2 linked regions of the Mus musculus genome follow. The protein of the gene in region 2 interacts with the protein of the main gene of each other region in a pairwise test. Links are inferred from orthologs where the notes say so. Each region holds a gene or a part of one and is shown on either strand. Other genes may lie near its edges.

Evidence for each region.
Region 1: the proteins of Lrp1 (region 2) and Mapk8ip1 interact in a two-hybrid assay, tested with the Homo sapiens proteins (2 studies listed by BioGRID). The link is inferred for Mus musculus from reciprocal best matches to the Homo sapiens genes LRP1 and MAPK8IP1.

The regions. Positions count from the first base shown.
Region 1 is NC_000068.7:92,398,157-92,402,414, reverse strand, and holds the start of Mapk8ip1 (C-Jun-amino-terminal kinase-interacting protein 1), read left to right. Parts: upstream 1-1,151; 5' UTR 1,152-1,288; coding exon 1,289-1,386; intron 1,387-4,258. UniProt on the Homo sapiens protein: The JNK-interacting protein (JIP) group of scaffold proteins selectively mediates JNK signaling by aggregating specific components of the MAPK cascade to form a functional JNK signaling module. Required for JNK activation in response to excitotoxic stress.
Region 2 is NC_000076.6:127,551,597-127,555,404, forward strand, and holds part of Lrp1 (prolow-density lipoprotein receptor-related protein 1 precursor), read right to left. Parts: intron 3,536-3,808; coding exon 3,352-3,535; intron 3,071-3,351; coding exon 2,985-3,070; intron 2,788-2,984; coding exon 2,668-2,787; intron 2,284-2,667; coding exon 2,096-2,283; intron 1,977-2,095; coding exon 1,771-1,976; intron 1,304-1,770; coding exon 1,115-1,303; intron 714-1,114; coding exon 565-713; intron 167-564; coding exon 73-166; intron 1-72. UniProt on the Homo sapiens protein: Endocytic receptor involved in endocytosis and in phagocytosis of apoptotic cells. Required for early embryonic development. Involved in cellular lipid homeostasis.

The sequences.
Region 1 (4,258 bases), on a different chromosome or scaffold from region 2:
ATGAGGAAGGTCCTAGGCCTTAGGGTAGGAGAAGCCAGTTCAGGACTGTGTGAGTGCAAAAGGGGTGCTAGATAGAAAACGCAGTGGGAAGACAGGTGCTGAGAACTGGGCACAGGAGTTCACACTAATCCCCCAGTTTAGCAGGAGACTCAAGAAGATTGTCATCAGTTCTTAGTCAGCTGAGGCTACATGGTAACTTCCAGGACAAACTGGAAATGAAAGAAAAACAAGTGATGGGGTAGTCCTGGCATACAGAGGCTTCACAGGGCTAAGAAACCAAAAGCATCACTCAGGTTATCAGGGGTGGTCAGGGCTCAAGGGGGTCTTTGCTGAAGGAGGCAGAGGCAGGAGGATCACGAGTTGGAGGCCAGCTTGGGCTACACATTTTTAGGCCGGGCATGGTGGCGCACGCCTTTAATCCCAGCACTTGGGAGGCAGAGGCAGGCGGATTTCTGAGTTCGAGGCCAGCCTGGTCTACAGAGTGAGTTCCAGGGCTATACAGAGAAACCCTGTCTCAAAAATCAAAACAAAACTAAAGGGTGGGTCTTGATAGAGGTGGCCTTCAGAGATTTCTGCGGGAGGTGATCCCAGTGCACAGGTGGGTGTTCCCAGCTCCCAGGGACAAGTATTTCTATCGTTTTTCTTCCTCCCCATGCTCATGGAGGGCTCATATTCCATTTCACACATGGGAAAGACAAGCCTTGGAACTATGAGGTCACTAATGCAATTCTCCACTGCCTGTTCACTTGTGGAACCAAGCTGTGGTCTTAGGTCACCTGGCCCCATAGCTGACTGCTCTTGGACCCCACTCCACCACCATCTCTCCTTTCTCAGCCATCTTCTGTAACCCTTTTCCTACCCCAGTTGCTGTGGAAGGCCAAAGACGGACTTGGGGAGCAGGATCTTGCCATCCGCTGATGCCCTCGATCTAGGTCCAGCTCTGAGGAGAGCAAAGCTTTGCCAGTGCTTGGAATGTCCCTGGGATGTGTAGGGAGGCCGAGGGGACCCAGGGCCACGGGATCGAAGCGTCAGCACTTCGGAGAGCGCCGGGGCGGGGCGGGGCGGGGGCGGGGCCACAAGACCCCAGCCGGCCCGGGGGCGCGCGCGGGGCGCTCTCGCGGGGGCCGCAGGCGAAGCGGCGCGCTGTCCGGAGCCGCGCCCGCCCCAGCTCAGTCCGAACCCCGCGGCGGCGGCGGCCTCCTCCACGCGCCTCCGCTGCTGCCGCCGCCGCCGCCGCCGCCGCCTCCCGCGCCGCTCTCCGCCCGGATGGCCAGGGCTGCACCCCGGAATGGCGGAGCGAGAGAGCGGCCTGGGCGGGGGCGCCGCGTCCCCACCGGCCGCTTCCCCATTCCTGGGACTGCACATCGCGTCGCCTCCCAATTTCAGGTAAGGATCGAGGCCCGGAACCTCGGGATCCTTGGAGACCCTGAGGGCGGCGTCCTTTCCCGGCCGAGCCCCCAGCCCCCACAACCTCCAGTCCAGGTTGGTGGCCACCGCGTGGCCCCCCGCAGCTCCTTCTGCCATTCCGTGTCATGGGGTGGGGTGATTGAGGTGGATCTGGGGCAGGAACCTGGGAGGTCGCCTTTCCCCTCCACCTTGGCGGGAGTGGGTCTGGGGTTTGGATGGAATTCCCGGTGCAGCAATCCGCCCAGACTTTATCCTGCCGCGTTCAAGGTATCTAACCCAAGGTGGAAGTAGGCTAAGGGGTTGGGGGCCCAGAGGCCCCAATTCAAAACCCTTGGTCCTTTAAGAAGAGTCGTGAACCCCTCTCCCAGCTAGCTTGGCCAGATGGGTCAGATTGCTAGGCGATCTTGGACAGGGTCTTCTGAATTTGGGCAGCTCCCTGGTCAGTTGTATCTCAGGACAGGTGCAGAAGGATTGGCCTCAACCAGTGAAACCCAATTTGCTTGAGGGAGGGGAATCTGCCTGTGGATATCCAGGGATACTGTTGGGGGGTCCCCACTGTGTAAAGACTCAGGACACCGAACTGAGCTCCTCTTTGACCCACCCCTCCATCTGATGTTAGACCAGGTGAATGAATTTCAGAGATGTAAGGCATGATGTGTTGAACCGGTGACTGTCCTCTCTTCACCTTTTCACACACATACACACATACACACACACACACACACACACACACACACACACACACACACACACAGAGAGAGAGAGAGAGAGAGAGAGAGAGAGTGACGAAGAAGAGAAGGGTGTCACTGCTCCAGAATGTAGAAGCTGAGACATACCTCATTGTTTCCCCATCAGGAGCAGGCGCCTTTCTCTCTCCTGGGACCCTTGCTCCAGCCAGGCCCCAGCTGGGCTCTGGCGCCAAGTTGTCATCTATTGAAGGGGTCTCTAGCTCCCAGGTCCTCAGGTGGGCAGACACACACACACACACACACACACACACACACACAGACACACACACACACACACACACACACACACACACACACACACACACACACACGATCTTAAATGGTATGATCAGGCCCTGAATCCTCCAAGGAGGCCCTAAACCCAGCTGAGAGAACCAGAAGGAGGGGGCCAGAGGATGGTTCCAAACCTGAGGAAAGCCTCCAGGCTAATGCTTCAGATTCTCCCTGGTAGGTCAGGCCTTTGCAGGGGAAGAGAATTAGCTGCGAGGGACAGAGGTTCGAATCCTGTTTCCACTGCTTCCTCGCTGCCTGATCCAAGCTTGCTTTTGTCTTTGGTCTCATCTGTGGAGTGGGTTAATTAATATTGATTCCTGCCTGGGAAGGAGACAGTATGCACCAAGTCACTGTTCAACAGGTAGCCGGCCACACTGGCAGAAATCTGTACAGCTTGTTTCTGTCAAAGTGTTTCTCCAGGGTAGTTCACTGAACCTTCACAACCATCCTGAGGGCCCACCCTAATCTGCCCTTTGCTGAGCTGAGGCGATGGAAGATAAGGAAGGCAGAGGGGCTAGCCTAGGAACCACAGAAAAATCTGACTGGAAGGTCAGGACTGGAACCTGAAACCAGGTCTCAGCCTTCTCTGTTCCCTCTCCCTATAGGCCCTATCTCTGGCCCAGGGTAGGCTCACACCCTATTCTGGCAGGAAATTGTTTATCATACAGGCCCGAGAAGCCAAGATGAAGGCTACTAGCCAGGGAATGTGTGGCCAACTCTGGGCTATGTAGAGCGGGGGCAACAGTATAGCAAAAGGCTGAGTGAGGAGTGGGCTGGCCTGCAGGACACTGTGCCCTAGCTGTGAGACAAAGCGGGCTTTGGAGATAACACTGGGCAGTGGGGCCCTACATGGCCTACTGCCTACTTCAACAACCCCCACTGCCCTTTCTCTTGTCCTGCTTCAGCAGCCACTGGTCTGGCTCCATTTAACCCTGATCTTCGATGCCCATCTTGTGACTCTTTGGTAGGGCTGTGGGTTCAACTGTTCTTTTGTTTTGTTTTGTTTTGTTTTGTTTTGTTTTGTTTTGTTTTGTTTTGTTTTGTTTTGTTTTTCGAGATAGGGTTTCTCTGTGTAGACCTGGCTATCCTGGAACTCACTTTGTAGACCAGGCTGGCCTCAAACTCAGAAATCTGCCTGCCTCTGCCTCCTGAGTGCTGGGATTAAAGGTGTGCGCCACCACGCCCGGCTGGTTCAACTGTTCTTAAAGCTGTGTACTCCACCACTACTGCGTACTTAAGCCCTTTGGGTCCTTGTTTTTCCTTTAATTTGTCTGCCCCTAATCAGGATGGTTCTAGAACTCAGGTGTGTGTGTGTGTGTGTGTGTGTGTGTGTGTGTGTGTGTGTGTGTGTGTGTGTGTGTGATTTCTACTCTGAGCTTCTAGGATGTGTAAGCAGTCTATGTCAGTGCTCTGCTCTCCGCACGACTCAGTCCAGAACAGGTGCTCAGCAGGGCTGGTTTACTACGGATGAAGGGTGGACGCACGGGGCCGTTTCTCCTGGAGAACAGAGTAGTGGGAAGCACCGTGTTGAGAACCTCGTGGGTCCAAGCGTGTGTGCTGCTGTAACCATGTGAATGGGTTAGTACTACCACTGCTTTCAGAGAAGGAAACCAAGAAATTTCAGCTCTGCTACCAAGAGAGCGAGCCCTGGGATCCTGGGGTGCACCTTTGGAGGGGTGAGCATGTGTGGCCTTGAGAGATGGGAGCATCTGTTGGAAGCTGATTTAAATGAGTATGTGCCGGGTGGATTTCTGACTATGGAAATCTTCCATCTGGTCCCTAGTGGTATATCTATCTGCATGTAGGGTGGGGTGAGGACTTTTCCTTTT
Region 2 (3,808 bases):
CTAAAAAAGAAAGAGCAGGGAGCAAATAGGCCACTGAGGTCTCCATCCCTTGGGGGCGTCGAGGACACTCACGACAGTCTGGAGGCTCGTCTGAGTGATCCCCACAGTCGTCCTCCGTGTCACACTTCCACCAGAAGGGGATGCACTTGTCATTTTTGCACACAAACTGGAGGACAGGTGGGCAAGAGGGGTTGGAAAGGGTATGAGGAACTCAGAAGGCTTTCTTTCACGGGGTGGAAACGTTTCAGGGACATAGTGGGAGTTTGTGGGGTGGCAGAGCTGGACAGAAAGCAGGGCTACAATGGACCTAGGAAAGCCAGACAAGGGGGTGTCTGTACAGGGAGAGCATGGGAAGGCGAGGACTCTAGGTCCTCCTGAGATCAGTATTAGAGGTGTTTATAAGGTGGCAGTGTACAAGGATTGCCGTGAGGACACAAGAGGTAGGCAGGAAGTGTGCGGGTGTCGGCATGCCAGAGGTGCAGGCATTAGTGGGTGCCGGGAAACAGGAGTGTGGGGTCAGGGGATTGGGGTGTTGCAGCATGGGCATCTTAGGAGGAACTTCACCTGGCTTGCTGTGCAGTTGGACACACAGGTACGGCCATCGCCACCCAGATAGAAGTTGGTGGGGCAGGCGCATTTATGACCACCCCCAGGGGACAGCAGGCACAGGTTGCTGCAGCCACCATTGTTGACTTTGCAGGGGTGATTGGGCACTGCCAGGAGAAAGAGGTTGAAGGGTCATGGCTGCCCACTGGCTTCTCTGACTGTGAGGGTGGGTCCTGCCGGGAATGGTTTCCAGCCTTCTAAAGGATGTCTGGCCTCCTTGGTACATCTCTATCCTACCCTGAATATGTCTGCTTTCAGGGTTTCCTCTGATGCTCTTGGTCCACACTCACTAATCTCTGGGCTCTCTACTACTTTAGGGCCTGGCTGTCAGAGACCCCACATTGAGCCCAGGGCAGACTGAAGCTGCTAGGGGACCTATAGCCTCTGTAAGTTCGGGACCCAGCAGGAACGCTCAGTCAGTGCCGGGGAGGGAACCTGACCCTGGCTGAGAACAGGCCTTTCATGCTTGGACTAGGCTTGCCACTCCCCCCTTTTTCTGCTCGATTACCATCTGGCTGGCGCAGGGCGTGGAATACATGTAAGTCCATGGGCCGGTGCAGGGTGCTGATGAGGAGTGTTTTGTTGGCACCCGTGGTCTTGTGGGCCCGGTTGATGGACTTCGTTTCCCAGTCTGTCCAGTAGACGTAGTCTTCAAATAGGGTCAGCGCAAAGATGTGTGGGATGTCTTGGCTCAGCACTATGGGAGACACAGCAGTAGTGGGCACCGAGTACAGGCTAGGTTCTGTGCCTACTTGTCTTCCTTAAACCCCATCACAACCCTGAGATGGGAATGAATCCCAGGTCCTGATGCTTCTACGACTTCCTAAGGCTCAACAGCGATAGCTGTCCAGCAGCCATACCACTGCTCTGGAGTAGGTCACAGCTTCTCTCAGGAAGTGTGAAGCACAGGTGTTCTTCAGGAAGTCCTCATGTGCCCACCCCTCAGGCCATTATCCTGAGCTGCACAGGGGATAGCCCTTGTTCCTCTAAGGAGCTGGATTGAGGCCTGGAGTCTGGGCCCATCCCAGAGAAGTGCCAGGGTATTGAAACCCCAAGACCTCTGGGTTGTGGTTTCTGCACACTTTGCCTTCTTGCCACCCTAAACCCTTTAGATCCCTGCCCCCCAGGTCTGCTGGCCTTGGGCAGCCTCTCTAGCATACGGACCAACGTGACGGTTGGAGCCATCCAGGCTGGCGAACTCGATGTAGTCCTCACGGGCGTCAGCCCAGTAGATGCGTTCCGTGACGTAGTCCACGGTCAGGCCATTGGGCCATGTGATCTTAGTGTCCACGATGATGCTGCGGCCAGATCCATCCATGCCAATCCGGCCGATCAGTGAGTGGTCACCCCAGTCTGTCCAGTACAGGTACCTGGCAGGTGGGGAGCAGTGAATCCTAAGAGTCTAGAGACTGTTCCCACCAGGAGCCTGCAGGTTGTCCGGGCTTGGGTGTTTTCTAGGGCTCCCCCAACCCCTCTGCCCACCACTCACCCATTCTGTACATCCACTACCAGAGCTCTGGGCTCCCGGAGGCCAGAGCTGACCAGCACTGTCCGATAGGCCCCGTTAAGCTTGGACACCTCAATGGTATCTCTGCCCTTGTCACACCAGTACAGGTTGCCACCCACCCAGTCCACAGCCAGCCCATCTGGGTTACTAAGGCCCGTCCGGTGCAGAACCTGTAAGGAACACAGGGAAGGAGGAGCTGGTGGCACCCTCAGTCTCCGGGGCATGGCTTCTCCACTCTCCTGACCGTAAGTGGCTATCACCAGGAGCTCCAAGCAGGGGGTCTCTGGGGCCACCCACACACGCCTAGAGCACACAGAACTCAAGGGAAGGCAGGAGGAGTCTCCTGTGCTTGCATACTTTTGAGTTGAGAGGAGGGGAAGGTGAAGCGAGCAGAACGTTTCTGTGGCTCAGGGAGGAGCAGGGCGAAGCAGTGTTGACAGGTGTGAGAGAAGGGGAGACTCTTTTACAGCAAAGGACTATGGGGAGGGTGTGAGGCTCGTCAGCGGGGCCCTGGTGTGCCTGTCAGCCGACACGGGGCAGCCTTCTGTTTTCACCTGCACGTTGCTGCCGTTGAGGTGCATCCTGCGAATCATGCTGCCCTGGGTGGTCACGTCCGTCCAGTAGATCATCTGCTCTCGGTAGTCAAAGTCCAAGGCGACCGCATTGTTCAGGCCCTGGGTTTGGGATGGGGACAGGGAAGTCAGCTGCCGCAGGGGCACATGTGTATCTGGGGAAGGATGTCTGGAGTCAGGATGTGGCTGGAGGGAGAGGGAGAAGGAGACAACCATGGCCTGGCGGTGGGAAGAACTGGGGAGGCCATACTGGGCCCGGGCAGTCAACAACGGGTGTAAAGAAGGCTTGGTTTTGGCACCTGCTTAAGCAGTGTGTAGTTGGAGCCGTCCAGGTTGAGCTTCCGCAGGTAGTACCGGTTGGCAAAGATGAGAAATGGCTCCTCATCTGTAGGAGGAGGGTCTCGGCTCAGCTCCAAGCTTAGGTATATTCTGGCAGCTCTGGTACCCCAGGCTATCTCCAGCAGCCCTGGTCCCCCAGGCTATCTCCAGCACCTCTGGTCCCCCAGGCTATCTCCAGCACCTCTAGTCCCCCAGGCTATCTCCAGCAGCCCTGGTACCCCAGGCTATCTCCAGCTACATTGTATCAAGCCCTCTCCCTACCTGCCACCTGCTGCCCAATCCCACAGCTGCCTGAAATACATCTCACCCTCCAAGTGCCCGTCTCACCGGTCACAGCTTTGCAGCTGTGGGGGTCACCGCCACGGGGTGCATAGCCCTCCACACACAGACACTTGTAACTTCCGTGGGTGTTGATGCAGAGCTGGCTGCAGGGGAAGGTGGTGCTGCACTCATCCAGGTCGGCACAGGTCCTGCCATCGTCCTTTAGCCGGAAGCCCGGGCGACAGCGGCACTGTGGGGGGTAAGGGATGTGCAGCTGAGGAAGCGGCTGGAGTCTATGCTTCTGGGAACCAACGACGCCTAGAGGCCCTCAGGAGGGCTGGGGGAGGCAAGTGACACACAGACTGCAATCTGTGCACCCTGTCCCTCCGAGTTTTCCTCATGTGGCTGTCATTCTGTCTTGGTGGCTTCCCTAGCCTCCTAGTCCCTCGATGTAGCTTAGTGCTGGCTAAGGCCTTTTATCATCTCTATTCACTTCCTCGGGGGTTTAAATAGCCTCTCTGGG